Linked DNA regions of Caenorhabditis elegans. The protein of the gene in region 2 interacts with the protein of the main gene of each other region in a pairwise test. Each region holds a gene or a part of one and is shown on either strand. Other genes may lie near its edges.

What was found.
Region 1: the proteins of W03D8.8 (region 2) and unc-39 interact in a two-hybrid assay, tested with the Caenorhabditis elegans proteins (one large-scale study listed by BioGRID).
Region 3: the proteins of W03D8.8 (region 2) and cfim-2 interact in a two-hybrid assay, tested with the Caenorhabditis elegans proteins (one large-scale study listed by BioGRID).
Region 4: the proteins of W03D8.8 (region 2) and C16B8.3 interact in a two-hybrid assay, tested with the Caenorhabditis elegans proteins (one large-scale study listed by BioGRID).

Annotation. Positions count from the first base shown.
Region 1 is NC_003283.11:14,369,375-14,377,327, forward strand, and holds unc-39 (Homeobox protein unc-39), read left to right. Parts: upstream 1-3,699; 5' UTR 3,700-4,014; coding exon 4,015-4,317; intron 4,318-4,885; coding exon 4,886-5,015; intron 5,016-5,387; coding exon 5,388-5,737; intron 5,738-6,093; exon of another isoform or gene 6,094-6,114; intron 6,115-6,200; coding exon 6,201-6,425; 3' UTR 6,426-6,507; downstream 6,508-7,953. Other genes in the region: npr-43 (G-protein coupled receptors family 1 profile domain-containing protein), read right to left, coding at 6,765-6,852, 6,903-7,061, 7,434-7,666, 7,714-7,850. UniProt on the Caenorhabditis elegans protein: Probable transcription factor required for differentiation and migration of neuronal cells, such as RID and CAN neurons. Specifically, plays a role in the terminal differentiation of RID peptidergic neurons. Also required for CAN neuron axon guidance.
Region 2 is NC_003279.8:2,788,398-2,796,726, reverse strand, and holds W03D8.8 (BAAT/acyl-CoA thioester hydrolase protein), read right to left. Parts: upstream 5,041-8,329; 5' UTR 5,039-5,040; coding exon 4,938-5,038; intron 4,746-4,937; coding exon 4,639-4,745; intron 4,596-4,638; coding exon 4,490-4,595; intron 4,387-4,489; coding exon 4,095-4,386; intron 4,050-4,094; coding exon 3,936-4,049; intron 2,715-3,935; coding exon 2,478-2,714; intron 2,433-2,477; coding exon 2,346-2,432; intron 2,081-2,345; coding exon 1,832-2,080; 3' UTR 1,751-1,831; downstream 1-1,750. Other genes in the region: W03D8.7 (BTB domain-containing protein), read right to left, coding at 1-17, 67-229, 331-356; W03D8.1 (uncharacterized protein), read left to right, coding at 6,418-6,551, 6,598-6,729, 6,777-6,931, 6,978-7,042, 7,088-7,235, 7,515-7,957; W03D8.14 (uncharacterized protein), read left to right, coding at 8,309-8,329.
Region 3 is NC_003282.8:8,922,395-8,931,719, reverse strand, and holds cfim-2 (RRM domain-containing protein), read right to left. Parts: upstream 5,393-9,325; 5' UTR 5,381-5,392; coding exon 5,295-5,380; intron 5,249-5,294; coding exon of another isoform or gene 5,243-5,248; coding exon 5,179-5,242; intron 5,129-5,178; coding exon 4,976-5,128; intron 4,932-4,975; coding exon 4,814-4,931; intron 4,766-4,813; coding exon 4,623-4,765; intron 4,579-4,622; exon of another isoform or gene 4,327-4,578; intron 4,265-4,326; coding exon 3,849-4,264; intron 3,803-3,848; coding exon 3,694-3,802; intron 3,638-3,693; coding exon 3,413-3,637; intron 2,898-3,412; coding exon 2,779-2,897; intron 2,734-2,778; coding exon 2,691-2,733; 3' UTR 2,620-2,690; intron 2,573-2,619; 3' UTR 2,467-2,572; intron 1,905-2,466; 3' UTR 1,672-1,904; intron 1,505-1,671; 3' UTR 1,479-1,504; coding exon of another isoform or gene 1,398-1,478; 3' UTR 1,374-1,397; downstream 1-1,373. Other genes in the region: slc-25A26 (Mitochondrial carrier protein PET8), read right to left, coding at 93-248, 296-659, 1,120-1,277; D1046.18 (uncharacterized protein), read right to left, coding at 1,398-1,478; D1046.2 (C2H2-type domain-containing protein), read left to right, coding at 5,661-5,732, 5,774-5,913, 5,962-6,091, 6,136-6,311, 6,361-6,478, 6,521-6,811, 6,868-7,152; D1046.16 (uncharacterized protein), read right to left, coding at 8,820-8,840, 9,235-9,325.
Region 4 is NC_003284.9:3,965,899-3,971,599, forward strand, and holds C16B8.3 (Annexin A7), read right to left. Parts: upstream 2,737-5,701; coding exon 2,242-2,736; downstream 1-2,241. Other genes in the region: C16B8.2 (uncharacterized protein), read right to left, coding at 287-356, 404-496; C16B8.4 (Fibronectin type-III domain-containing protein), read right to left, coding at 4,768-4,964, 5,079-5,327.

The DNA.
Region 1 (7,953 bases), on a different chromosome or scaffold from region 2:
TATCTAAATATATAATTTTTAATCGACACAGAGTTCAGAAGTTCATATAGACCTTGGAAGAGCCCGAAAAAAGAACTGGGGACCTTTTTCTTTGCACTCTCTCATTTATCCCATCTCTCTTGCACAAACTCCAATATTTCATCTACACTCTCCGTGCCGTTCTTTTTCTTTTTTTTTGAAAAACGTACTAACCCATAAATCTTCGTCTCGTCGCCCACTTCCCATCCGAAACCCCTAAGTGCCACGTCACAATTATCGCATCAACGGAACGGAACCCCTTTTCTTCCAGTGTACCGAGCATTTTGGAGCAAACTTTTCATATTGTGTTAATCCGCGAAAAAGGAGGAAGACGAGCGTGGAAGGAAAAAGGAGAAGACAGGCTCATTTCACACAACAGGGGTCCGCCGTTCAAGGCAGCTGGTCTGTGCTAATAGGATACTTGGAGATGTATAAATATACGTTATAGGTGCAACTATTTTGACAACACCTGCCACGTGGTCATTGCTGAAAATTAGCTGTTATAGATGGGGAGTATATGAAAGTTCATAAGAAGACAATCCAAGAGCAACATTATGCAGCAGAATTGCATTATTTTTTGTTGGAAAGTTACTTCTAATAGTTTTTCAAAAAAATTCAGTAAAGTCATACCGAATAAATCGAAAAATGTGTTATCAAAAATCACAAAGGTTTCAGCATTTTTCTGCTCACTTATGGACTTCCAACCTATGAAAAATGGGAAGAAGTCTTCTTAAACTGTGCCACTACAAAACTTTCCTCAGAAGAGCAAGGAAAGACGATCTGAATTCAATAGTTTTTTTTTCACTACATTCAATGCCCGTAAAATAGCACAGAAAATATAATTTTGCAGGTTTTTTACAATTTAACAAGTGGTTAAGGATAGGAAAACATTCTGAAAGCTTTTTGGAAACTTCTGTATCAATCAAAAACTTGTAAGTAACTATGTATAATGTCGGAAATCTTTTTAATTCTGAGTATACTCTAGGGTTTCAGCTTTATCACGAGCTTCTGGATCTTTAAAACTGAAAAAAGCCTGAGCGACAAAAATAGAAACACAAAGAAATTCAGTTTTTCCAGATTTGGGGGTCTTCATTTTCCTGAAAATTTTAGAACACAGCTGCCAATAACACATACTTGGTATTTTTGTAGATAATGGTCCCTTTACAATATGTTCAATTGGTAATGGTTTCCCATATGTGAATAAAAAGTAATTTAATAAACTTAAACCTCCTAAAATTTTCAAAATCTCAAGTTGAAATTGTAAATTTTCAGTTTTCAAAAAAAAATTAACGTTATCAAGAAATTTTGAACGCTTAAAACTCGAATCAATTGAGAAACATTTGAACAAATAAATTTCAAATCGTGTTTAAAAAAATGTATCCAATTTCAGAAGGATTACAATAATTTCAGATTTAAATAGTAGATCATATACTTTTAACACCTGCGATTGTTATCTGATCTACAGTTTCGATAAGAAAGGTGTTGACTGCTGCTCCAACTCCCCAAATTGGTGACGAGAGCAGATGGATCCGCAGGAAGTACAAATTGTTCTCCATCTGCAACCAGACATTATGTGCCACGTGGTAGTCGATTGAGGTGCTATAAATGACCAGATATTGACCGTTTTTGGAATCTAATTACAGACAATGAACGTATTCAACTAACAGCTGTATAGAGTATGTGGGTGTCTGGTGACTTATGACTTATATGGTTATGACACTAAATTTGAAGAGTGTCGAATATTGCAGCAGATTTGCAAATTCCCCATAATTCGAGGTATTGTTTGCAACAATAGATATTATTGTTCCTTATAATTCATCAAACAATATTAATCAGCATTTTGCATTTGTTTGAAAGTACCAAATTTTGTAAAAGCCTTGAATAGGGATGGCAAACCGAGCGCCCTGTTTTTCAAAAGTAATTTCTCGAGTTTTAATTTGGTTTTAAAAAAACGATGTTCAGATATTGGAACAAGCCGAAACTATCGAATCAGCTAAAAAACAGGCAACGAATACGACAAGTATCCGTAAAACCAAACTCCGTAGTTATTCCGATGCGCCGGCTATAGTTCTGCTCACCTCTGAAGCAAATTCATTGGGCAGATTGATGGTATAACTAAATTTTAAAAAAGCTAAATAAATTAAAATGTTCAAAAATGATTCGTCAGTTGACATTTTTTGATAATAGATACATCAGAAAACATATTATACAAGTTAATACTGCATGAATTGAAATGTAAAAAAAGAGTTTACAATGGGAATGTAGCATAAGTACCACCCACAGTCAACTGCGAATTTACGACAAAAAATAAAGTTACAAAAGTTTAGAAAAAACAATGTAATTATCAGTTTATCTGATATCCCGTATTTTTATATCTTGGTTCACTTTGGTTTTATCAAAAATTTGTCAACTGACAAAATACTTGTCACAATTTTTTCTACATTTTACCAGTAAAATTTGTTTTAACTAAAACCAAAGAAAACCGAAATATAAACTGTCAAAATAAAACAATGGGGATGTAATTTTATTAGGTAAAATATGGTGACAATAAATAGCCAATATCAAATCTACAAAAGAGGAATAGTTGATGTACACTACTAATGAAAGCAAATGGTATAAAGAATACGCCTCTTTGCATTATTGACCGACTACCGTATGCTCGTCAATCAATGTTTTGCTAGGAGAAAAGAGCACGTCAGTTCAATTGTTGAGGACTGTAGAAATTGGTGACAGATGTGATGAAAAACGAGAACATGATTATCAATTGGATTACGTGGGTACTTTTTTAATTGAAGTCACTAACTATAAATAAAACACTTGGAATTTCTTTTAGCCGGCTTTCTCGAAGTTCATATGTTGATAAATATAAAAATAGAGTTTCAATATTTCTATTTGCTCTAAATTCTTCAAAACTACCGAAAAATTAATTATTACCCAATTAAATACTATAAAAAATTAATTTCTTAATGAGACCTCTTGAAACCTTCCTGCAATTTTTTTTGACGGTTCAAAACTTTTCAATTTTCCCAGTTGGTCCGTGTCGCAGCGGTTAAATTAAGTGGGTGCAAGAAAGGTAATAAAATTTGTGCACACTTAGCCATTATAAAAAAACAACAAAAACTCAAAATAAATAACCAAAATAAGCAAGATATAGAATTAATTGTATAAAAGATAATTTCCGGTCACTGTCAACAAGCTGTGAAAATTAGAAATTATAGCTAAAACCTATTTTATTGCAGTCCACTTGAACTTTAAAAATGATTAAAACTTTGTGAAATTTTGAAGAATTCGTATAAAAATTCGGTCTTATGAGATCAGTTTAAGTTTTGTAGTGAAAAAAATACATTTCAGTTCTCCAAGTAACACTGTTTTATTTCTTCTAACTATACGAGCAAGTTTCAAGTTCATTTACGCCCACAAAAATTTCAAAACTATTCTCCCAAAAATGTGTATCTTATTATTCACTACAGTAATCTGAGCCCATGTTTCTTTCAAAATGTTCATCCCCTCATTCCACGACAAAACGAGAATGTTTAGCTATTAACTGGCTGCTTAAAAATTCAAAAGTCTCAATGAAAGGAAAGGTAATCTGAGACTGCACTTTGTTTCCATATTTCTTCTTCTTCTTTTCAGCTCTTCTTATTTTTTCAAACTTCAGCCTCTTCGTCATTTCGTTCCGGTCTCAGCCATACTGTCAGGAGTCAGTCCGGAAATCATCATCCAATTAATATCTGCAGAGGCCCATCCTCACCTCCTAACAACGTGAGGGCTCCTATTTCAAACGAGAAGCTACTCGAATTCGACACTTTTATTCTCGCCTATAATTAATCCTCAACACAAATTTCCCTCCCACCACCTCATCCCAAAAGAGCTCTACAGGTGCCTCCCCCTCTTGGACTGTTGTACCGTACCCCTCAACACAATATTGCTCGATTAGCCCCGCCCATTTGGTCTTCTAGGAACGTTTGCAAGATGAGTAGTATTCCACCTTATTTCATGACAGACCATCCGCCAATTGACACTTCTTCATATTTCGATTGTTATCAACAACATCAGCTGCCACTTCAATATACATTCACTTCATCTTCAAATTCAAACACCTCTAACTCTTCAACATCGCCTTCTCACATCTCGGATCAATTTTCATCATCTGGAGGTCCGCCCTACGAGCTTTCGTCTCATATTCTGACACCGTCTTCTGTAATTCCGACTCCTTCTCCGTCGGTGGCATCTGCTTCAATCAGCTCACCGACTATTCCAGCTTTTGGGTGCACAATGTCCGAATATTCAATGGAACAGGTTGGTTGTGGTATTAAATTTTTAGCGAGGGAAATCAAATATCAGAACTTGAAAAAAAGGTTTCTACTCGAAGTCTAACTATTTCGAAATGTCACAGTTTAGTGCTGGAAACCTGGCTCTGGACGATACGGTGTTTTTTTCAGGTGTTTTTTGACAGTTTCCATGATAGTTGACTTGTTGTAATAACTGGAAGCTGTGTTTTGTTAATAAAAAAGTCTAGAACGTGGAATGAATTCTCGAAAAAGTACCACTTGAAAAACAAAACTTCCGGGTTGCCAGCCATATCACAAGCCGACTTGTTCGCTTTTAATGTTCTCAAAATTTTCGTTGAATTTGAAAGTTTAGTGTTTCACAAATTTTTTTGGTGATAGATGTGTATACCTAACAGGCTTACCGCAAATTTCACAAAGTCAAAAATACATTCAAAAACTTGTGAAATCTTAAATATTCATAACTGTCTCAAAGTAACTTTTTTTAAAAACATGTTCAACATGCACATAGATCAACTGTAGTTTTTATGATTCTTGAGTTTCATCTAAAAACTCAAATTTATTCCCAACAATTTTAGATGGAAGCAATCTCCACATCCCTGTTTCAAGCTAGAGATGGTGATCGATTGGTAGCATTCTTCAAGCAGTTGGAGTCATTGTACGGACCAAATGCAGTAGATCATTTGCGAAGTGAAGCTATCATCGTAGGTATGTTTGATTAGATAGTGATATTTTTGAAAATACTTTGTTCCGCAAGTATCTGATATAGAACTTTACAAAGACTCATTTCTTCAAACTGATCCATTTTTTGCTATAAGAAATTTCTAAAAAATATCCTATAGCAGAAAAAGTTGCTCCCGTAATCCTTCCGACTTGAAAAACTGCGGTAATATCTGCTGTCAACACTCTCACTATTGCTATGTATTTTAGTTCTTCTATATCAATAACGCAATTTCCTCGATTTTGAATAATACCTCATTCGATTGCGTTATATCCTGCTCTTCTCAAATTCCAAACCATTTATTGCGTTGACTCTTTTTAGTACCCGCCATTCCATCTAACCCTATTCTCCAATTTCAGCCTACACATATGCCTTATATCATTCCAATGAATTCGAGACACTCTTCCACCTTCTCTCGAATCGACATTTTCAACAGCGTCATTACAATGATCTACAAGATATTTGGCATCATGCAAGGTACAAGGAAAGTCAGCTGAAACGTGGCAAAGAACTGAATCCAGTGGAAAAATATCGGCTGAGACGAAAGTTTCCGGCTCCGAAAACAATTTGGGATGGTGAGGAGATTGTGTACAGTTTCAAGGATTCGAGTAGGAAATTTTTGAAACAATTTTTCCGCAACGTCTCTGAATATCCGACCCAGGAGCAGAAAAGAGAGATTTCAAGAGCAACAGGACTCAAAATTGTACAGGTTTGTGAGAAAAATATTAACTTCAAAATTGCTTATTTAGTCAGTAAATTAAGGAGAAGTTAGTAGAATCCCTGGGTAAAACTTTTCACATTTTAACTGACTATGTACAGTACTTATTACCAGCTGCCAAGTCGTAAACGCTTGCGTGCTATCCTTGTCTGAGTTGAGTTTGCTTATATTTTTCCAACAATGATTGTAAAAAGGAATGCGTGAAAAGACAGTTGCCGACTAGTCGCAACTGAGCAGACGGCTTCTCCGAAAGAATTTGTTTATAAGATCTGCAAGGTCAAATTGTAAGGATCATAAATTATCTGTTTCATTTTATTGTCAAATTTCGAGTAGAAGATTAGTGTGATTACAAGGATTCTATGGTAGAACAAACTAAAATAGGATCTGAAAAAGCCGGAGCGTAAATTAGTACATGGTAAAGTAATCTCGAACAAATTTCAATTTTATTTTTCAGATTTCAAATTGGTTCAAAAACCGTCGCCAACGGGACAAATCGAACAATTCAGCCAAATGCTCCCCACCTTCCAGCTCGAGCAGCACTAATGGTGGCAGTGACTTTCTTCCAATAATAACTCCGCAAAGCTTTAACTTGGCAGCTGCTCCATTCAATATGAACATGATCTATGGTACATTACGTGACAGTCAGTCTGATAATGATCAATTCACTTTCAATCCGTAATTTTTTTTAAAATAAAAGTAAAGTATTTACCCATTGTATATTTGAAATGCTTTAAAAGTGCAAAAAGAATAAACTGTTATTTTTAGAAGTTTGCCAGGCTATAATTTTTTTTTTGATATTTAAATCTGAATTCAAGAATCTGGAAAAATATCAGAATTTCAAGGTTTCTTGCAAGGTTTTTTGAAACACTGAAAAAATAAAAACAAATTTATTGAAACAAAAAACCGTAGCACATATTGCGGACATAAATAAATAGAGACAAAATGCAAGATCACAAATAACCCCGAAACAAAATATATTAGAACTTCGTAGATGTCGGATATTGGCATACTATATAATCTATCCAGTAAGTGAAGTGCTCAAAATCTCCTTCGCCTCCTTCTTCACAATTCGACACCGAATCCTTCGTTCCAGCCATCTGAAACACCTCAAAATCGGAGGATTTTTTAGAATCTCGGAGCTCAATGATACACTCACTTTTCGAATCGAACTTTGCCGAAATAGGCCAATGTGTTGGTTGCCGAGTTGAGAATGACAAGGAAGTCTGAGATTCGCGTGACTTTTGTCATGAATGGGCCGAAGTTTATACTGTTTTCAATGAGAACCTCGTAGAGATCAATCAATGTTGGCAGGGATCTGAAAATTGAAAATTTGAGCTACCAAGTTTTTATGTTATGTAACAAAATAATTAGTACTGTCTTGGCATTTGGCGATGATTTCTTGCTCAAGGTAAACACTTGGCATGACGTTTTTTGACCGCACTTCAAGTTCAGCCCAGGCTTGATTCAACTCTTGGCAATGCTTTCTAGGTTTAAACAACACAGAATAGTTCGGACAAAATATTGGAAATAGTTGGATCATATTTGAGTTAAACATAGAGTATGGTCTAAACAACGCACAGTTTCTACATCTCTTGCAAAAGCTTTGCCACCTTTTGAACCAAGTTCCCACTTTTGGGATCAAACTTGGAGTGGCCAAAAAAAGTTTGAAGTTCTAGCCTATACTCACCTCAAAATCAGAAATTTGACAACAATGAACACAGCTAACGCCTTCGATGCTTTATCCTTCAATTCCTCCGTCACCAGTGTGTTTCTACTTCTCTTCTGACTCTCAAAAAGCCTCCTCCGTTCCTTGACATTCTGATGCATTTTGTATTCAGTGAACAATGACAGCGTGGAGATGAAAAGCATTGGTCCCAATGTCTCTGTTGTCATGGTAAGGGCAACTTTGAATTGAAAATACTGAAACAATGGGATTTATAGAATAGAGTGAATAGATGGTTACGTACCCAATAAGAATCTCCTCTGAGTTGTGTCATCTGGAGCATTTTTGATTCAGTCTGATGAACTTCATCAAAGCATGTAATAAGGTTGAATTCAAAGTAGGAAGTGCTATGAATGACGAAGCAGAGGATTACCAGAAGGACTGAAAGTATTAAGTTCAATATTCAGAGAGAACAGAAATTTTAGTGAATTTTGTGAAATTATTTCAAAAATAATGTATTTTAAACTATCAATTAAGTATGCAA
Region 2 (8,329 bases):
ATCATGTATGTGAGACACTGAAAATTTTATATAACGTCCTCTGCGTAAGTGGAAGCTTCACCATACAATGTCAATGCTCTCCACTGAATCTGCTCTTCCAACTGTGAACTCGGTCGTTGTGTCCTTCAAATGTTGACGGAAGAATTGAGATGCCAGGCAGACAATCTCCTTATTTGTCATCACGCAGTGCATGCCGTCAGATGTTTTCAGCTTCAAATCGTGGCGGGATCTGGAATTTATTTGGTAATATTTCGGAAAATATGAAATCTCGCTTAAAAAGTTAAAAACTAACTTATTAGTGGTCAGCACTTGGTGGTTTTTAATTCTTACCTTTCAAAGCTCATCCCATAGAGCATTTTGATCAGATGCTCGTCAGCGAATTTTGTGGAGCGAATAATCGCATCGCAGAGATGTGGACAAATCAGGTTCTTGATTGTGACCACTGTTTGAGGCTGTTTACTTTACAAAACTTTGAGTAAAGTTTCTGCAGTGGCAACGGGGATTCGGTATGTTCTACTTCTCCATATTCGGATTGTTCATCGGAACAATTCTCTAGATCATCATCATTCACTTGAGTCACTTGGGACGGCGGGACCTGTAAAAAGGTAGTTATGAATGGAAACTGATAAATTTGTTGCTGAAAATTGCCAAAAGTTACTTGGCAGATTGGACAAAAGCCGATGACAAAATTAATAAAGCTTTTTTTTCTGATATTCACATCCAAAAGTTGCAAAAAATTTTATACAGGGAGACCATTAATTATAGCAATATTTTTTGTGTTCTTCCTTACACACGTTTTTTAAAACATTTTATGTGAGTTCAACCATAAAGATCATTTTTGAATTTTGTTCACAGAAAGTTATGCAGGTCAAACCAAAAAAAAAAAAATCAAACCAAAAAAATCTCGACAATTTGGGCAAAAGCCGATTACAAAATTAAACAAGGGCGAAGTAGAGGGAGATTCACGCGAGGATTCAAAGGGAAGTAAAATACAAATATACGCGGGGAGATCAAGAAAGGTAGATCAAACCTATAATTGTGGGTAGATCAAATTATATTTATACTTTTTTGCGCACTCCTCACAGTGCCCACGCGTATTTTGATTTTCTAGTGAACTAAATATTTTCTGTAATTCAGAAAATTCATAAATTCATAAAACTCCTTTTTAGTCAAAAAAAATCCGAAATTCATATATTTTGTAAAAGTGGTTGGAAAATTTTATGGCTGTTAAAATACAGAAAATGATTCAATTTTTAAAACTAATTTTCTAACGCTTTTTAAGATAACTTTAATTGACCGCTATAATTAATGATCGCCCTTTAGTTTTCTTTGGCAACCACTGGTTGGCGCACAGCCCCGCTACATACCTTTTTGCAATCCTTGGCACTGAGTACGTCCGCGGAATCCATCGGTATTGGTGTAGTAGACATTTCAATTGAAGTGAGCAATAGAAGCAAGCTTAATAGTTGATTTTTGAGGATAAAAATTTTGAACTGATTATCGATTTATTATTCACAGTTATTTTTTAATGAGTTTGATCCCTTGGTATCATCCTCATTTCTTCAATTTCATCAACTATTATCCCCAAAAGTTAATCTACGGTGCTTTACAAATGATTCCACGTAAATAAAAATGAATGAAATTTCTCGCGTGAAGCTTGTGATATATCACCCCACTGAAAGAGCGCTTCTCACAACGTCGAAAATTCCTGAAACTATTTCTGACGAAGCAAGTGAAGAGATCTTTTGCTGCATAAAGAGTTTTAGTGGAAAGGTTCACAAAATGTTCAAGTTCATAATGTTCAGACAATGTTCAAAGAAGTTTCAAATTATCACAATTTGCTCTTTTTTCTCGGCGGCACCACAACCGTCAGTCGATCCCAATCCTGAATTTTCTTTGTATTTCCAAGAGCTTTTTGGAAGAATTTGATAGTATTGGACCATGTCTTCTCCTGTGATTTTGCGTGTAGAACCACTTCTCCACCATATCCACAATAGAATCCCTGGTATTTTGCGTAGACGAGTTCGTGATGTGGGAAGTATGGTGGCTCCATAATGTGTCCTCCATTCACTAGTTCAACCTGAAATTTTTTTCAGTTATCAGACTCGATTTTAAGATAAAATTAATAATATTATTAGAATAAAAAACCTCTGAGTTAATCGGATTATTTTCGGAATTTCGGTTGAAAAAAAAAACGTCTGATGGAACTTTGACTGTCTGGAGTTCTTTAATGCTTAACTATTATTTTTTCTGATAATTCTCTTATCAATTAATCATATTGCCACTCAGCTTCACCTGAATGGTGCCAGAGCTCAAAAATTGCTCCAAATTAAAAAAAAAAGTACCTCCACATCATGCCCGGTCTCCTTGAGTCTTCTCTGTCTGTAATACGTTGCATGCACCGATGGTTGACACAAATCATCCACGGATCCCTGAAGCTCACAAAATTTCCGCTGAACGTCAGCTCGAACACTTACAATTACACGAATTTTGACATCACTGGGGATTCGTTCCCATGGAATTTCAGTTTCTGGTGTCAATTTTTCTGTCATAATCTGGAAGTTTCTATGGGAACACATGACTCCATTAATGAATTGACAGTGCTCCAAAGTGACTTGGCCATGGGAGAGATGAGGAATTGGGGCACCGTTTTCTTGCATGAAGAGGTAGTCAGATACGACTTGGGGGCCATTGATGGAGACCAGGGCCTTGATCTGGAAATAGTTTATGGTTATTGTTTAAGGAGGATTGGCAAAGTATGAAAAAAAAAACAGTCTAGATCAAGGGTGCGCGGCAGTTGCAGTTCGGTTAATTTTTTTGTCGACAAATTCGGCAAATCGGCTGATTGCCGGTTTGCCGATTTGCCGGAAATTTTCATTCTCGTCATTTTTTAGAGGGATTTTTAATAAGACGGAATACTTATAACTGTGCCTTTTTGAAATTTTTATCTGTTTTCTTTAGATATTTTCATAGAAATTGCTTACTTTTCAAAATAGATGTAAGAACATTCACAAAATGCGTACAATTTTGTAGATAAAAATTGAAATTCTGAAATTTCCAAAAAAAAATTTTTTAAATTTTTTCCTGGTTTTTTGAAGCGAATTTTTCGTTTTCATTTCAAGTTCCAGATTTTACTAATTCTAAAAAAAAACTGTGTCATGGTATTGTAACAAGACAGAAATCATAGGAACTATCAAAAAAAATTGTTGCAAAACTTTTGCTTGTTCAAAAAACGCTCTCCTCCGCCCGACCCTCCCAAAATTTTACTTTTGGCAAAAAATCGGTGCTCCGTGTCACTTCCGCTTCACTTCCTCATAGGACTGTTTTGGAGCACAAATTATTGCACTTGCTCCAAAAATTTCTATGGCAGTCTAGTTGCAGACTATTTACACATACACGCTACCCCTGCACGTGCTTTCTATTAAATTTTAAACACTTTTTCGAAAGTATGTGCGGCAGACAGAATTTGAGACAGGGGTGGGCGGCAAACGATTTTTTTCCGGCAAATCGGCAATTTGCCGAAACTGAAATTTCCAGCAAATTGGCAATTTGATGGAATTGAAATTTTCAGGCAAATCGGCAAAGTGCCGGAATTGGAAATTTCCGGAAAGTCGGCAAATTGCCGGATTTGAAAATTTCCAGCAAATCAGCAAATTGCCGGAATTAGCAGTTTACGCAAATTGGCAAATCGGCGAATTACCAATTTGCCAAATTTGCCGGAAAAACGGCAATTGCCGAAACTTTCGGCAAATTGATATCCAACAAACGGCAAATCGGCAAACCGGTAAATTGCCGGAATTGAAAATTTCCGGCAAATCGGCAAACCGGAAAATTGCCAATTTGCCGAACAGCAATTGCCGTCCACCACTAATTTGAGCTGAAGTTCGTCAACTATCATTTAGCGCCATTCACCTAGAACAATAAATTCTGCCTACCTTATCGCCATGTCTTGTGGTGAGCAAGTCCACAATAGTTGCGCCAAACGAGACTCCCTGTATACCTATCACATTTTTTGTGAATGGTAGATCAATTAAGTAGTTGATTGCTTTCTGGAATTAGCTTTCTAATTTTAGTGCTCAAATTTTACAACTCACTGCAAAATACTCCATATCTACATCTTCCATTTTTTGCGGTAAATACTTGAACTGGAAAAAGGCAAGACATAATACAACGAATCCCTCTGAAGCTAACATAGCACCCTTATGCTCATGGATTCCTCCACCAGTTCCTGAAATATCAAGGACCACTGGGAAGGGACCATCACCGGGAGGTTTGAAGAGTGTCGCACAGAAATCTTCCTCTAACTCGGTTCGTATCAATTTTGGGTGCATCCAGTGCTTTTTGATGTAGGTAGAGTCGATAAGGGTTCCGGATGAATCAAAGAGTCTGAAATTTTGTATGTTTGCAGGGGTTTGTGTACATAGTCTTGTGGCGGAAATTTTTAAAGGAAGTGCAACTAGCAAAAGTTTAGAAAAAGTATAAAACTTACTCCAACAGATAATAAAACGGAACTGGCGGAGTACACCGAAGATATCCACCATATGCAAAATCCTCACATGGCTTCATTCCAAGGAACAACCCCATCGGATCAGCATCTAAATATCTGATTTAGAGTGACTCTAGGTATTGTGTACCTACCGTAATAAGATCCTCTAAGGGGCTTCGCATACTTCAAGTCGATTCTTCCAGCGGGGTCCGCTTGAAATGTTGCTTCCGATTTGTGAGTTCCATAGTCATGTTTCAAGCTGGAAAAGTCTAGGTTTAAAATTTTTAAGCCTCGATACCGCCCAGCATTTTCTAGGTGGCTGAAAAAAGAAAAACTCGGCCACCTCGGTCATTTTTTGGCCTTGTGCCTAAATAGCAATTACTAAACTACACAACACATCAATCATCAGTATCAAAAATTTTTGAACTTAAATAATGTACTGAAGTCTTACATCATTCGAAACGTGTAAATCTGATTCGATCGGAGCCCATCTGCCACGATATCGATGAGCTCATTTTGCATTGTGTCCGGTTTGTCCACATGAATCGGCATTGCTGAAAGTTTTTGGTTTTAGAAGGAACGAAACATAGTGAGTACAAATGGGTGAGGAGAGTACAAATCACTGTTATAGTTATCAAACACAGTTATCAATCACACGACTGGAGGGAGGCGGGTGGTTGAAAAGCTTCTTATCAATTCGTGAGAGTTTTAATTTTGACTTTGGTCAGAGAAAAATGAGCACTCTGGGGAGGTAGAAAAGAACGGTACTGCTTTTTTTGCGGCGATGAAGGGAAAAAGTTGGTGGCCGAGTTTTTTTTTCAATCCTCGGCCACCGCCCCACTTCAGTTTTGTAAGAGTGGACAAATTTTTCCTATCCACGGCCATGGTCATGGATCTGTGGGTGACCTTGGTTGAGGTTCATGCAGTTTGTCCGTCATTAACTAATTTTCGTTTAGAAGGGAAAAAAGTTGGTGGCCGAGTTTTCTTCCATTCTAGGCCACGTTATTGCTGATGACTTTGGTTCTGTAAGCCTAGTTTTCCCTATCCGCGGCTATGGCCATGATTCTGTAGAATTGTGGGTACCTATAAAAACCAGTGACATGGCCGAGGTTTGTGCACTCTCACTGTTGCTTCAAGTTGAGGATCACAAAAAAGATCCTTTAAAAATTGGTGGCCGAGTATTATCTCTTCGAGGTCACGTTGAAAAAACGCAGAGAAAAGAACAGAAAAAAAATGTTTTTTGGCCTACATTTTGTCGGCTGCTAAGTTTTATTAATGACGCCATTTAGGTTTGTTATGAGGGTCGGGGTGTAATTTAGGGGCGACAATAAAAGGTAGGCATGTAGGTAGGTCCATAGGCACTCAGGAATATATGCAACAGGGGTGCGCCGCAATTGCCGTTCGGCAAGCAAATTTTCGGCATTGCCGAAAATTTTGAAAACCGGCAATCGCCGGAATTGCCGATTAATATGCCGGAAATATAAATTTGAAGCTTTTTATAGATTTAGGAGGCTAAACATGCATTTTAATGAATAATTATCTATTTTCAAGCTCCAAATTATTTAATCCTTTTGACCGTTTTTTTTTGAATAATGGCTAACCGAATACTAAAAAATAAGGTTAACTTTGTTCAATTTCCAAAATATAATAAGGTTTGAAAATTGCGGGAAATGTCCAGCAATCAATTTCGGCAATTGCCGAAATCGCCTATTGCCGGAAACTTCCAAAACCGGCAATTGTCAAAATTGCCAATTGCCGGACATTTCCGATTGTGGCCCCAAAAAAGTCCCAGCCCTGGTTGGCATGTAGAACCTGAAATATTCGCGTAAACCTTACACGTCTCAAAAATCCCCGTTTATTCTTTCCCGCTAGCTATTTATATTCCAAGAATCCCTAACAATTTCAATCATTTCTACAATTTCTCCTCTCAAATGGTTTTGATGGGAAAATTAATCAATTTTCTACTCTTGCTTCTGTTGGCTCGTGGAGCAGCTACTGTGGACTTCTTGAAGCTGACGGACGCTGAAAATGCCGAACGACTAGAAAAGTGTGGAAGTGTAGAATTGTGAGTTCGGCCTGCCTGCCTGCCTACCTACCTTCTTCGTTTCCAGATCGAGTTATTATTATTCATACACCACCGGAAGAGAGAAACACGTTGTTGTTTTTGTATCTCAAAATAATTTTATCGCCGAAGCTGATCTTATTAATGAAACTTTGTTCAAGAGAATGAATTGCACGTCGGAGTAAGTGGAAGCCTGTAGGCAGGCATGTAGGCAAGTAATTTTTCCAGTATGAAGAGTATAAATAACGTGCTCGAAATGGAGAAAATGGCCGATTATCCTGCAGAACTTCTCGGTGAATGCGAATCGCATTCGAATGGAATGGTTCTAGGGGAAATGTTCAAGGCAACAAAGTCGAAGAATAACTTCTATATGTGCCTCAAATGTAAGCATGTGCCTACCTACGTGCCTATAAGGTCTTACTCTTTCAGATGATCGATTAGATGACGGTGCCTTGGTTAATACTATTTACAATAAGACGTTGTACCCCGGAAATGTAGGTTTTCTTCATTTTTTTCGTTTAGAATTCCAAATTCCACAGATTGTCCAATGCAAAGATATAAAACCCGGCACCTTCTGCCTGCAAACTTACGAAAAAGTGATGGGAATGGTTTTTTTCTCGGATCAAGATGATAAAAATCGTACTTATGTTATGGGACGGACCTATGAGAAGCTGAAAACCAATAAAGGTATTTTTGGGCTCTACGGGATCAGCGTAGGCGCTAAAACGCCTGCCTGCCTTTTTTTACATTGAGGCACGCCTTAAAACCATGCCTGCCTTCCAGAGAAGGCCTACTTGTCCCTACGAAACTGACTTTAAAAGTAACTGGAGCAGGCGACATCATACGAGGCCCGCGATAGACCTTTCCCAGCGGTAGGCAGCTGAGGCGTTTAGCAGGCGACATCCTACCTTCACCTACATGCCTACCTGTCCATGCCTTTCTCAACAATAACCCTACATTTTTCAGATGGCACTGCAATAATGAAGGGCATGTACCTGAATCAATTCTCTGATCAAATTTGTAAGGCTAGTGGGATTTGTGAACCTCCGACCACTACTACTTCCACGACAACAGAGCCTACCACCGCTACTGATCCTACAACCACCACCACCACCACTGAAGCAACAACTGTAACTTCTACAACAACTCCAGCTGAAACTACAACTGCTATGAAATCTACGAAGGAGCAAGTGTTGACGACTACAAGAAAGGCGCTCGAGACTACTAAGAAGCCTGAGAAGCCTGAGAAGCCTGAAAAGCCTGAGAGGCCTGAGAAGCCTGAAGCACTACCCCAAGCGCAAGATTCGTATTGTGGAAATGTGTACCTGTGCTTTGATGAGGATGTTTTTGGATTTGCGAGTAATGGGAATGTTCTTGTGGTTTTTGGTTTAATATGCCTCATGATATAAGAATAAAAAATTTTATTTTCCACTGTCTTCCACGCTTTTAGACCTATAGAGATTACCGATGGTTGGTACTGAGATTTGCGTCAAGTTGCCTTATGGCTTTTCATATCGTTAAAGCTTTCCTGGTTTCAGGCTGAAAATTTCAGCTCAAAGCTTTTAGAATTCAGTATGCCGGAGGGCTTTCCATCTGATCAATTGTGAGGTCAGGCCATCATTAGCCTGAAATCTTGTGGGCTGGAATGTCCCTTTCCTAGCAATTGTTCCATCCGTGAACTTTGGTTTTTTTTTAAGATAAGAACAACCTCTGCATTATATATACTTTCCCAGATATTCTTTATTTTATAACAGCACACAATGGCCTCAATCATACGATTC
Region 3 (9,325 bases), on a different chromosome or scaffold from region 2:
AATCGGCAAATTAATATAGGCAACTTAATATGTACACAACTGAAATTGGCAATAAATTTGATTCTTTCAACTGTTTTATTCTTCAGACTCACCTCTTTTAATGTGCTCAAAATACCAGGAGCTGGACCGTTTTTTGTGAGCATGATACGTGTCTTTGCCACGTCTAATGGTGTCGTTAAACCAGCTGCAATAAATCCAGCTACACTTCCACAAGCAGCTCCTTCCAATGGACTACAACGACCTGATTCCTGAAATATTTTGTGATTGTAGATTAAGATATTTAAAAAAAACTAACTTTTTTATTTGCCACTGCCCTCTTCAAAGCTTCCCAAATAGGAAACTGGATAATTGAAAAAGGAATTTCTCGAGCCACAGTGCTACCGTATCCTCGATAGAATCCACGTATTCCTTTAGTTTCCATTATTTCTTTGCATATTAACGTCAGTCGTTCATTTTTATTAACTTGTCCTCTTTGCTTACAAAGCTCTGTTGGTACTCTTACAGCACATGCTGCAATTTCAGCCAAACTTGCAGAAACAGCATCCACAAGAGCATTTCTTTCTTCAATTACTTGTTTCATTTGTCCATTAATGTATTTGTAAGTGAGGAAGAAAATGGCAGCTCCGGGTGCTGAGCCAACTAATACTGAGATCATTCCCCTGAAATAGAGAATCTAATCTACAGCTATTATGCAGAAAACTCAGAAAAATGCCGCTTTTGAAATCGGCGCTCCGGCCACGAGCTATGGGTCTCGTTAGGTATTCGGCGGCAAAACCGTGAATCAAACGTTTTCGATGAGTTTCACCGATTTTTGACTTTTAAAAGCTTTTTGGTTATGTTTCCAGATATGTTTAATGAGGTTTATGCCAAAATTGATTAAAAAAAGAAAATTACTTGAAAATTGGTGAAATTGGCAAAACTACTTTAAAACGTTTGGATTTACAGATTTGCCGCCAAATACCTAACGAGACCCTAGGTTCGGGGGCGGAGCGTTTTGTTTCCATTTCGAAAGTTTATTTTCTGCGTCCTCATTTATCTGAATTTTTGAATTTAATTTTGGGTTAAGCTCTCAAATGTCCGAAAACCAACTAATTATATCCATTTTTTCCAAGTATTCACCTATAAATATCTTTAAAACCTCCAGCTGCAATGAATCCTTGTTTAGATTGCATTCTTGATTTAATTGTATCCAATGGATATAATCCAATATCAACTGCTAAACCAGCTGTCGCCCCACACACGAGCCATCGTACCACCGATCCTTCTTCTGATGGCATCCTAAATTACTCCATATTTAAAATATCCAATTCATTCTAGAGGTACTACATCAGTCGACAAATTCGACTTCATGGGAAAGGAAGCAATGAAAACACATTTCTTATTTGCAATTTATTAAATTAAACAAAACTTTTAAAGACAACGTTTATAAAAGATAATCCAATAGTGAGCACTGATGAGAAAATGTGTACACGAATCATTGTTGAGTTGGAAGATAGCCAGTATTCTGAAATATGAACATAAGTTTTTTTTATTTTGCTTGAAACACATTCTGAAAGCAATGATTTCAACCATGTAAATGCGAGGATCAGGAAAAATAAAAGGAAGCACTCACGAAAATGAGACCAGGGATTTTGGATAAGTGAATAAATACAATAAAAAATATTGGCTTACCAATTAAATTCTTATTGAAGAATTGAAACGGGATTCACAACACAATTGTCAACAAATTCAATGAATTTTCATCGAATGTGCTCGAATTACAATTAATCATTTAAAATGTTTGGAAATTTTAGAAAACAAAATGTGAATTTCAGATCAAGAAAAAATTTCTGTTGAGAGGATTTTGCGGGGATTTTTTTTGACGATTCCGATTTGAACTCGATGCCACGTGGATGCTGCTGGACCTGTTGGAAAATACAATTGAAATGAGATAAAAAAATACAATAGAAAATATCAGCTATGCTTATTTCTTCACATTATCACTGACATTACAATTAATGCCTAAAACTTTTAAATTTTTTGACAAAAAGGATTAACAAATAATTTTCAAATTATCATTTCAGCTGAAACCTATCAAATTTCAAGACGTAAGTGAATAAACAAAACTACATTTAAAGGACAAAATATAGAATTAAACACATAGGAAGCTTAAATGATAAAAACAACTAACACCATTAAAAATCTATTTCAATCAAAAAAAATATCAATTTCACATTATAGAATCAATGCTTACCCAAACCCAAGCTTATTTTAAATGAAAATATTACAATTTTAATGTGCTCTCAATAAATACTAGCAAAATGTTACAAATTTCATAGCATACTTTTTTCGAAATACTCCCGATACAACTGAAATTTCGAAATGACCCAATACTTGAGGAGTTACATTCAAAACGATTTTAAATAGAACAATGAAAGGTAATTGAAAGAACAAATCTGAAAATCAATTAAAAAGTCAAAAACTTACAATTTTAGAGTACAAGTGAGCAGATCCCGTATGCAAGTGAGAATAAATCGAAATCGACCAGTGAACATTGAGAATGAAATTTAGAGATTATATAACATTTTTGGATCTGAAAAATTGAAAATTGTTTTGTGCAAAAGCAAGCATCGGCATTACCAAATTGTTGAAAAAGTGAAAATTGAAGAGTAAAATAGAAATAATCTTGAATTTGAAGAAAGTCGTGTTATTTAATAACGACGACGGCGTGGAGATGGTGACCGCGAGTATGAGCTAAAAAAATATTTTTTCAAAAAAAATTGTTGCTCCAAAACGAACCGTGAGCGAGTGCGACTGCGTCTTCTTCTTTTGCGATCTCTTTCGCGACTTCTTGAACGATCACGATGTGATTTTGAACGAGACGAATATCCTTTTGATTCAAGGCCTTTGAGTGTGTGCTGGAAAATATATAATTATGAAAAAAAATTGCGATTTACTTTGTATTTCTGTAAAGGTGGAGTATGGTCGTTGTGAAATTTTGTATCAAATGAAAGAAAAAAGCCATAATGACCATATTGAGATAACTGTTTAAAAACTTAATTAAATTTCTGAATTTTTGATGGTTTTTTTTTTCAAATTTGCATAAATGTTTAGATTCATCGGTTTTTCTTGATTTTTTCTTTGATATTTGATTTGAAACACCGTTTTTTTTAGATTTATAAATTAAATTTTAAATCACTGATATGTTAGCAAAAAAGTTTTGTTTCAGTAAATTTATTTCTTATCAATTAAGTTTTTCTTACAGAGACATAACTAATAAATTGACAAACGATGAAAAATTTTTTATCGAGTTTTTTATCGAAAAATCATAAAAAATCGAACATTTTTTAACGGTCATTAAGGTCCATTTTCTATCATTTAAACTTCAATGGAAATTAGAGTTTTGCTCAAGAAGGATTTTTTTTAAACGTACTTCCAATCCATAAACCAATTGTCTGCATCTTTCATCATGTCCAATTCGACTGTTTTTAATCAATTGAATTGCTGTCAATATAGTCTCAGATGCTCCTTTAATATCTCCAACAGATGCATCAGTTATTGCTCGAGCTATAGCTGACGATGATACAGTTTGATTTCTTGTCATTACATCTTCGAACTCAGCGTCAGATAAAACTGTTCCTTGAAGTCCGGGGAACATCTGAAAATAATAAAATTATCATTCAAAATTATTTTTAGTTTTCAAAAAACCATTACCTGTGGATTGACATGGACTGGTGGAAGACCGTTGATAGGAGGACGCATAGCTGTATTCATTTGCATAAGTGGCTGAACACCCATTGAACCAAGTTGTGGTGGTCTAGAACTATTTGGAAATGAAAAAGAATGATAGAGGATTATTATACGATTACCTATTCTGGAATTGATTATTCATTGGAGGTGGTGCATTCATTCCCATCATTGGTTGTATTCCCATTGATGTTTGCATCATTGGTCGAACTTGTTGTCCCATCATCATTTGAGGTTGTTGTTGAATTTGTTGATTCATTCCACCTAATGGTCCATTTCCTAACATTGTTTGTTGTGGCACAGGAGCACGGTTCATTAATGGAACTTGTTGTCCGTTGATTTGTAATCGCATTTGAGGAGCTTGATTTAGATTGCTTGGCAGAGATGTAGGTTGGCTCATCAAAGGAGTTGGTCGAACTTGCTGCATCATGAGAGGTGGAGGTCCAGATCTACCAGAGACACTTGTTCCAGTTCGACCAGTTTGCCCTCCAGCTCCAATACGAATAGTTCCCATATTGACACATCCTTCTTCGAAACCCTGCCAAATTAAAAATGTTCATAATTAGTATAACTTTTCGAAAACTTTATTAAAAAGTGATAAATTGTTCGGATGAACTTTTAACGCACACCCTTCAGAAGGTGGACGCCGGTAAGACTCCGAATCAATATTGCACCTGCTACCAGCTCATGATCATAAAGACAAAACACCGCTGAGTTTCTAGGCGCGGGCGGGAATCGATCACGCGGACTGCTGACTGACAGCCAACTGCGCAACCGACTGCGCTTCCCTCGACGACCACAAGTACCAAGTGGAAAACGTTTATATCGGTGCGCCGTGGAGTAGCAGAGAGTCACAGCACTAATTTCAACGATAGTGTTATATTCTCTTTTTTTACCTTTTTCTTGACGTCTGGACGGGTCTGATTTTTTGCTTGCGCATCTTCCAGCTTTGCCTGATTCGTTTTATTGTACGACAAAACAGTTGGACTTTGGCCATGGATAGTTTTAGTTGGGAGAATCTCCATAGTTTGTTTTACCGCTGCAATGAAATAAAGTTTTTAGAAATATCTTGTTAGTTTCTACTAACCAGCATCAGAATTCAAAACCAATAAAGCATATCCCTTGCTTTGTCCATTCGTTCTGTTCTCGAAAAACTTCATGTCAGCGAATTGAGATCGTGCAAGGCCGGTGGATTGAAGAGCTTTCTGGACAAAATTTATTGAAGACATTCAGTTTTACAGTCACTTACCAATAAATCAGCATCTGTAGTATACCAGAGAAGGTTTCCCACGTAGCAGCAATATTTTCTTCCTTCCGAAGACGTCGCTGGTTTTGCACCAATTCCAGCAGTTGGAGCAGTCACAGTGGTGATTGTTGGTGAAACAGGTTTTGCTGATTCCGTCTAAAATAAAGAATTATAAGGATTTAATAAGAATTCATTAGAAAACTCACTGAATTTGTGGGTGCAATCGCTTCATCGTACAGATCGTCAATATCTTCTTCCTTGAGCTCTTTTCTGGATCAAAAAATAAATTTTTAGCATTTTCTTTTTTCATTAAAGTATTTACCCATCCAGCAACGCATTCTCGTCTATGGGACCATCATGTTGTTCGTTACCGTCACCTAACAACGCTGCTTCGTCCAATTCAGCCATCAATCCTCAAACAAACAACGGTTACATGAATTTTAAGAGAGAAAATTAAAAAGTCAAAATTCAATTGTCTTCTAACAGAATAAGTGAACAATTATTTAATTAATCGATAAAATCAAAAAATATTTATTAACGCAACATGGGTGGGGCGTGCACGCTAAACAACAAGCGTGTCTGTTCAACGGAGTGTCGTTTGCAAATGTCGATTTACGAAAAAAAAAATTGATTTTGAAAAACATTTTTTTAAAAATATTTTTGAAGTTAAGCTTTTACAGTTTTCATCATGAATGACGGATATAAGCAAAACGATATAGTAAATCATGAAGCTTATGAAGAACTTGAAGTCGCAGAAGAGGTAACTCATTCTCCCATTTCAAATTAAATATTTATTTTCAGCAAATAATTTACTGTCAGGAGGAGTACAACGATGGTCCGGGTACTATGGTTCAAGTTCAAGAACAGACAGATGTGCCATGTTATGTTATGGAAGGAACTTATTTTACACCTGAAAATATATATGCTGCTAATCAAGACCAGTAAGTAAATCAATTAGCCGAATCCGCAAAGATTTGAAAATTTTGCAGTTCGGTGTGTCATTTCTGTAAAGAAGATCTCACAAATAAACGATTTTACAATCATTTATTTGATCATCATGGCTTCACGAAGCAGCAATGTGAAATGATGAAACAGCAAAAACGACTCGGGAGACCAAATGTATATTTCAATTATCTAAATTTGAAAATCAAGTTAATTTTCAGCCGAAGCGAAAATCGTTGCATTCTTGTGAAAATTGTGGAATGGAGTTTATCACAAAGACAGGATTAACGAGCCATTTAAAAAAAGATAATAGCCCGTGTGCGCGTGTTGACGAAATGGCTGTTGGAGGATCGTCTGTGAGCAATATCGTTTGTCCAAGTTATGGATGTGATAAAAAGTATTGACTTTTATAAAAAAGAAACATATTCAGTCTCTAAATATTTTAGTGTTCCTACATATTTGGATCTGGCGATTCACGTCGACACCGAACATCGAGATCTTTCGAGGGCAACTGATTCATTCCGAATTCGAAGAGTGACTTTCCAAGATAAAGCTGGATTTATGGTATGTATTATTTGATTATTTGCAACTATTTAACATTTTCAGAAGTGGAAAAAGCAAATGGAAAAATCGACGAATTCGGAGTTTTTCCTTAGGACTTCGCAAAAAGTATCATTTGCTATTCGGACAATGCTCTATAAATGCCTGTTTTCAAATTCTCGAGGGCAATCGAAAGGCAGAAGATGTGAGCAGTGTCCTGCATTTATTAAATGTTGTATGAGAAATCATGGGCAATACGAAGTTGTCGCCTGTTTCGGGCATCTTGGACATGAACACCCAACTGAAACCGAGATTGCTAGACAGATGAGAATCGAGAAATATCGAGAGATTGACGCAGTGAGTTTTCATTTTATAAAAAGTACGAGATTACTTATACCAGTATCAATTTTCAGCTTCAAGTACGAGAATCTCGAATGCATAATCAACATCACATGAATGTTCGCCCAAAGCAAATAATTGTTGATCAATACGGACACCCTACTCACCCAAACGATGAAATGATGATTCTGATGCCGGTAGGAGAAGAAGTCGTTGAAGAAGATGCATTCACAAGCGTCGTAGTAGATGACGCTGATGATGAGATAGTAGGGCCACGTGCTCAACAGGAAACACCAGCTTTAACAAGACAAGTCTATATTCCAACTTCAAATCATCACGCGAGCTCTTCTCATTACTAGACAATGATACCTGTTATAGTTTCTTTTTGATTGTAAAAAACAGTTAATTATATCAAGAATTTCTCCATTTCCTAAACAAATTTCATACTTAAATTGTCGATTGTGATTAAAGGTTCAGGTTCTCACGAATAGGAAATTCCTCCATTTTTCTGTTCTCTACACTCCTTTATATCGTCGTTTTTTTCTATTCATCGGGTCCAATGTAGGTTTTCAATCTCCGTCTGCCCACCAGATGTTCAAAATGTGTTTCTGCTTCCTGAGATTCTTCACATTTATTCTGTTGTAATTGTTCTGTTTCAAATATTTTTTTTTTTGAAATCTACAGGTTTTAATTTTTAAATGTTGATTTAATTTTTATCTAAGAGTTACAACAAAAATATTAACTCGAATGAAATTTTTTATATTTGACCAAATTTTTTAATACCGATATTTAGGAGTTCATCCACATATTATTGATTTTAAAAATACTCGAGCAAAAGCCTTTTGAGAAACAGTGCAATTTTTTTCTACTCAATGACGCGGTTCTCTCTCTCATCATATTTTCTTGTTATCTCATTTCCACAACCCATCTTTCTTTTTCGGACAGTAGTTATTGTGTGCATGTGTTCTCCATGTTCAAATCGTCGGCTGTTCTGTGTTCTAATCTTCAAAAATGTCGTCGCCGCTCCTTTGTTTGTCGAGCCAGCCCAACCGCCACCGAGCAATAATGCGTGTGTTCGAGTGAGCATGCTCATGCAAAACGGCTCTCTCCGCTTTTCCGTCATTTTTTCAGTGTCACCTTGTTGGCAGAGATTCATGAGACATTTTCATTTTTTGAAACCAACGTGGAAATTGGATGCGGGGGCAGCCGGTTTAGAAAATTCATTAAAATAATTTTTACTGGTTCTAATTTTTCATTTAATTGGGAATTCAGATATAAAAATTATTTTAATTTCTGATTTAAAAAAAATTTTCAACTACAGTAACTGCTGCATCGAAAAGTACTACTGCTGGCGCATTCGGCGTGAGTTGGCGCGTTTGCCGATTGTTTTCATTTTGAAATTAGTTTTTTCCTCGAAATATTTTTTTCTCTTTAAAAAATGCAGTTTTCCCATGATTATTTCTAAAAAGAATTGCTCATTTTCCCTTCTCACAAATTCTGTTCGCATTTGATAGGCATTTCTCACGGAATGGCACGAAATTTCGCCGGAATTACCATCGTGCGCTCTTATTTTTATGTGTTAGCCCTCGGCTTTTCCCTTTTTCCGATATTTTCTATTTTTGTTAGTCTGAACTTGATAATATTAACTTTTTCTATTTATTTTTGGCACTTTTCACGTTTTGAGGATTAATCCCAAAAGGAAACTCCAACACGCATCCCCGGTCTCCATAAATAGCATCGAGGATTTAGCCAAAAATGTCAGATTGACACGTGCGTTTTCTGTAGACTAGAATGTCAAAATTGAGTTCTTAATCTCTGGTGCAAATTTCTTTATCTTTGTTGTAAATGCTGAGCCTATTTGCCAGTTATTCTTTTTCAAAGCCAGAAGAAAACGTTTAGGATTTGTTACGAAGTAGATGAGAAATATGACAAAGTAGATGCTTGTGTGCGCGAAATGTTTGCATCCAGTAGTAGCCCGTCGGACCTGTCACTTTCATCGGTCATTTTGAAAAGTAATTGGCTGTTTCTATTTCTCCTGTTCTTGTGTCTGAAATGTTTTGAAAAAAATCAGCAATCTTTTTTGTACTTCTCATTTCTCAGTTTTCATTAGAAGTTAGAATAAGAAACGTTTTCCAATTTTGGCAAAGTTAAAATTATGTGAAGACACCGGTTCAAAATCTTCACTTTTTTCTCCATGATAATGAAAATTTAGAAAGCTTTGAGCATGGGATAACTTATGACCGTGTCAAGAATTTTCCTGAACTTAATTCCCCATTTTCTTTGTTGGCAGAAAATAATTATGCAAATGGATGTTTTCTTAATACATAATAAATTTATGTGAACTATGTGAACACATTGTTGCCCTTTTCTGTGATATTTCTAATATTTTCTTCTATAAAAGAATGTCGGCATAAGAAAGAAAAGAAAATCGAAACTAAAACCTTCAAAACATTGACGACCGGAAAAGGAAGAATAAGTGAACAGCAGAGATGAACAATTACAATTTCGCCTCCCATTCTTTGACATCGTTCA
Region 4 (5,701 bases), on a different chromosome or scaffold from region 2:
AAAGGTAGACAACGACCTGGGGAAAATTATTTAAACCACTTATATGATGCTAAAATTATCAAATATCATTATAAAATTTTTTTAAAAATTGTTGGAAAGTTTTTTTTTATTTTCAATCAAAAGGCGGTGAATTAAATTGCCTTTTATTGGCATTCAATAAAAAATTTTCAAAAACTTTTGAATAGTTTTGGATAGGATAAAATGAGATATTTGGTAATTTTGGCCCCAAGTAGTATTAACAATTTTCCCACTGGCGCTAATCCGCCTTTGCATAGCTTAAACTTACAACTTATTGCTAGTTCATCTTTTTCTTCACCTGAATTCGAATTGGACTCGTCGAGTAAAGTTGGAAAATTCTGAACGAGCAGGATTGAAACATCTAGGATTAATTGATTGTACTTACATCTGTCTTGAAAGGTAATTCATCGTCGTCTTCAAAACTGTGTTGAGCAGAATTAATAAATAGGAATGTAGAAAGTAGAATCAAAAATCGCATATCTGAAAGTGAGTGTGAATGTGGCGAAGTGCGAAATGAAAATTGAAAAGAGACACTCGGGGGCGGATGGAATGAGAAGCTAGTTCTGAACTACTTGAGAGTTTTCTCTTTGAATGACATATAAAAAACCGATTTTGCTAAGATCTCGTCCTTGCAATGTTACTTGAAGAGTTCATCAAGTAGGTGACACCGTCTCACGGTTTGAGATTTTTTGAAAAAAAAAACGCTATTTTTAGATTCTTGAACGTATTATAGATTCTTGAAATGAAATTGAGTAGAAGTGAATAGAATAAGCATTGAAACGAAAAGACAGGAACAAGGTAGACTAACTCATTAGACGTCGACGGGTCAGTCAAGGCGGGCCGGTGAGTTTCTTCATTCATCCTAAGGTTCCGCACGCTCACTTTCACCTACAACTGGCCCGTTTCAAACAATTGAAACCGCGTAGTTCCCCGTCCGAACTGGAATAAACTGCGCAATACTTATTGGCACGGCTTTCCCGAAACACCGGTTAGATGCTTTTTGACCGACCGAAAATTAAAGCGAACAGTGCTTTTGACGCTCTATTATATTCTTTGTTTTATTGTTCGGCGAGTTAATGGGTTCCAGGGTTTCTTGGATGGGTTCCAGTAAGAATCAAATAACAATATTCGTTCAATTGGCGTTCCACAAACTAGAGTACATTGAACAAAACTAACTTTAAGAATTAGATCTAACATGGAGGAAAAAGAAAATGCCAGTCATCACTCCCTAGTTTACTACAGGCAGGGGACACTAAAAAGGATTACTGTGATGCGCAGAAATACTAACATTTCCATAGAAACCTAGTAACTAGGTGAATCAGTATTTCAATATTGATTAAAGGAAATAATTCCGTTCACATTTTTTAAACCTTGTTTCTGTAAAACGCGTGCTAAACCATTAACTCAGTTAGATAAAAAAGTTTCGATAAAATATTCTCCTCTTGAAACATTATATGTGCCTTCCAAAGAACATTAGCAGTGAACAGTTTTTTGTGCTACCTGAAAATTTACTAATTTCCATACTTCTAACGTTTGTATAACTAATTCTGAAACTGATAAAACTCTGTTAACAAGTTTAGTTGCAACAAGTTTTTCAATTAAAATGTGGTTACGAAGTAATTAAAAATTAATACCGGTTAGTCACTTTCTGACCGATGACAATTAATGCAGACATGCTTATGACTCTTTGCTATATTTTTTGTTTTACTCTTAATGGGTTCCAGAGTTGCTTTGATGGGTTCCAGTAATAATCAAATAATACTCGTTGAATTAGCGTCCGACTTACTGGAGATCATAGAATTCATTTGATTTTCACAGAAATCACTTGAAGATTTATGTTTAATATTGTGACATCGAATCGAATATTTCCTAGACCTATAGTATCGAACTGTTATATCAAACCACAATCAGAACTAATTTAGACAAGTTGATTATGTGTCCAATATTGCATCTATTGGAACAATAGGATTTATGAAAGTTAACAATAAATGTTGAATGCATAAATAGACAAATCAAGTAAAATTATTCTAAAGGTAATTTTCAAACATTTCCACGTGCCACTGACACTCAAACCAACCAATAGTTGTTGGAGTATTTCTTAAAATTTTTGAAAAGAACATTGAACAGTTTTAACATTTATTTGGCAATTCAAACAGCAAGAAAAAACATGGTATATTAAATTGATTAGTAGTACAAAAGGTATACAAAAGCTTACATATTAACTCAATATGGTCTTGGATATCCTGGATACTGTCCGGGTGGAGGTGGAGGATATTGCCCTGTTGGTGGTGGTGGGTACATACCGGCTGGCGTGGCTCCGGTTCCAATTTGATATGGCTGCTGTTGTGGATAGCCTGGTGTGCTTGAGTATCCTGGGTTGCTTGGATACATGTTAGTTTGATAGGGTTGCTGTGGAAGTGGAGGTGGTTGTTGGTTGTACGCCGAGTATCCTTGGGTTGGGAGTGGTGGGGCTTGTTGGACATATCCACTAGGATTCACTCCAGCACCGATTCCCATAGGTGGTGGGGGTGCATATGTGGCTCCGTAAGGTCTTGGTGGCGGTGGAGCATATCCAACTCCGGCGCCAACTGGTGGTGGAGGGGCTCCATATGGAAGAGGCATAATTGGAGTAACACCGAAGCCAACTGGGGAACGATAAGAACCGTCACTAGAGGAAGAACTTGAGGAGGAAGAACTGCACGTGCGACGGCCGTACATCTGAAGAAAAAGTGTAAGTTGAGGGGTTTAAAAGGGAAAAAAATCAAACAGAAAGGTTGAAAAACGATCGATTGTGAGTTGTTAGTTTGCGATCCGCCTATTGCCTCAAAAACGAGAAGGTTTCACAATGTGATACGGTTATCAGTTTGCATTGTCAGAAGAAGTTTCTCGTTTTTCCATAGAGAAGAGCAAACAATGACGTATATGGAAACGAATGAACAAAAAAGAAACGAGGGCGTTTTCAGTGTATATTTTGAAACTTTCTTTGCAATCCATGAGTCATGAGGATAGATCATGGACATGACCTTCTGGATGATTCAATGGGAAGGAAGATTACATTCATTTGAATTTATAATAGGAATAATATCGAAATGTCAAACTGGAATGCCAATCAAATACAAACGTCAAAAAAATTATCAGGAAGAATGGAAAAGATCAGGGCAATATTTTAAAATTCAAAACTTTTTCTTGAATTAAGCCAGTCTGCTCTCCGTCGGTCTTGTTGTAAGTTAAATCCAAGCTTCGCTCGACTTTTCAGGAAAGACTGGCTGTAGTCTGGAGGTAAGAAATGCTGACCTTAAGTTTGACCGCGACAACCATCCAGACTGAGCCATCCGGACAACTTTCAACCCTATTGGGTCTGTAAGTTTCTTTTACAATTTTAACAGACTTTTGAAACTCAATTACGATTTAATTTTGTTTTTCAACTTCAATGAATTTTATTGTGTATTAGTTCTTGAATCCGTGTAATTTTAATAACTATTTCAGTCCGTTTTGCAAACCAGAAAGGCCGATCAATACACTTCCTAGCTAAGATTTTCTGCGCCTATGCATTTCGCACCTGTTCTATTCCGAACATGTTTGCGGATCAGTTCTCTGACCACCTAGTGTCTTCACATGATTTTGACATTGGAAACATGTGGCCGAATGGTCTAGTGGTATGATTCTCGCTTTGGGTGCGAGAGGTCCCGGGTTCAATCCCCGGTTCGGCCCATTCCTTTTACTCTTTTAAGCATTTTCAGCATGTAACTTTGAAAACTTGTATTTTGATCGAATCGTGAGACACATTCAGTAAAATTATGGGGAATTGTAAGAAAAGGCTTTGAATATTTTTTTATGTATTATTAATGTATTTGATCGCGGAATACATTCATATTTACATCATCTTCTACGAGTTTAACAATTTGTGAAAATTATAATAATTATGAAAAGTAATTTGAATTATATTAAAACAATTTCTCACGATTAGCAATTTTGATTGTTAGAAATCCTATTCCTAACCAAAACTTTCGAAAAAGTCATACTCTGCATTTTCAAGGTCAATGCTTACTGCGTTCAGAGTTTTCTTGTTTAGTAGAGACGCAGATAGACTTGTTTATTGGTTTGTGACTAGTCGACCACACGCAGAGCGCTATTCACGAGAGCGTGCATGTGTAGGAAGAGGCGTTCACGACGAGACGTGGCCGGATGGTCTAGTGGTATGATTCTCGCTTAGGGTGCGAGAGGTCCCGGGATCGATCCCCGGTCCGGCCCACTTACTTTTTTCCTTGTAGCGAATGGTTATATGCTTTTGATGTATTATGCATATGGTTATTTCAGGAAAACTACAATACATATCAGCTCGAAACGTGGCCGGATGGTCTAGTGGTATGATTCTCGCTTAGGGTGCGAGAGGTCCCGGGATCGATCCCCGGTTCGGCCCGCTTAATTTTTTGATGTATTTTGTTAAGTGTTTTTATGATTGTTTGGAATTATAAAAATTTAGTTGATATTTGCGAATCTGAATAAAAAATCAATACAATTTTAATAATCATTTTTGAATCTCTCATGACAAACTTTATAGAAAACAATTCTCTATTTACAAAACCGGAAAAGCAACACAAGGTATAAAAAATGAACACTTAAATATTAAAATAGCATAATGAATTAAACCCGAGATAACATGTAACAAAGTTTAACTTTGGTTCAACGAAATACCCATAAATAATGAGAATGTGACTGCTAAGCTCTACTAAAACCTGGAACTAAAAATCAGGCGTAATCTGTGAGTTTAGCCTTGTTCTCAGAAACTTTCACAGGACATTTGTTGCAGCATCTGCAGACAGCAAAACAAAGTACAGCAAAGATGAGAAAAGTGAACGAAACTCCGACGGCGATGATTTTCAGTGAAGAATTTATCAACTTTTCTTGCATTACAGCAATCCTCGTCTCAGCAAACGCTTCTCGGCCTGAAATGCAATAGTTTGAGTAGGACAAACGATGAACGTTATTGCATATTGCGTAACGAAAAAAAGGGATTTACAATATACAAGTCAATAAATAAAAGTTAGCCTAGAACGTACCAATTGCGTCATAGTTGGTGATGCGGAACATAAACTCGCAATGAACGTTGCGTGGGAGAGGCATCTCATAACTTGTGGACGGGGCAGGTAGGTATACTGTCGTTGGGTCCTTATTGCAAGGGCCAAGGTATGCTTGGTAGGTTATTGCATAGGTTAGAATGTTTTCTGGTTCAGCCGATGCGGTCCAGGTTATCATTGCGGTAGAGTTGGGTTGGATTGCCACTCGGATATTGGAGACAGATTCGGGGGCTGAAAATTTAGTTTTTCATTTAAATTAAGAATTGCACAACACAACACACAATTCAAAGAAAAATAACCGATAATTGTAGTTTATAAGCTGGTAGGTGTTAGAAATATGAGAAAGTGGCTTAAATTACTGCAAATTTGTCGATTTCCGTCAATCAAATACATTTTTACAAGCTGCTCATAAATTTTGCGTTTGGTTTAATAAACGTTCAGTCCAAAAAAAATAAACTATGGAAATTTAATTTCCGCGTAAAATCATATGTTTGTGAAATTCAAGTTTAGCTTTCAGTTCCAATTTTTCGGACATTTCCATATTTCGCCCATTTTAAATTACATATTTTTAAGTCTTATATGCTTTTTTTTGTCTCAATACTCAC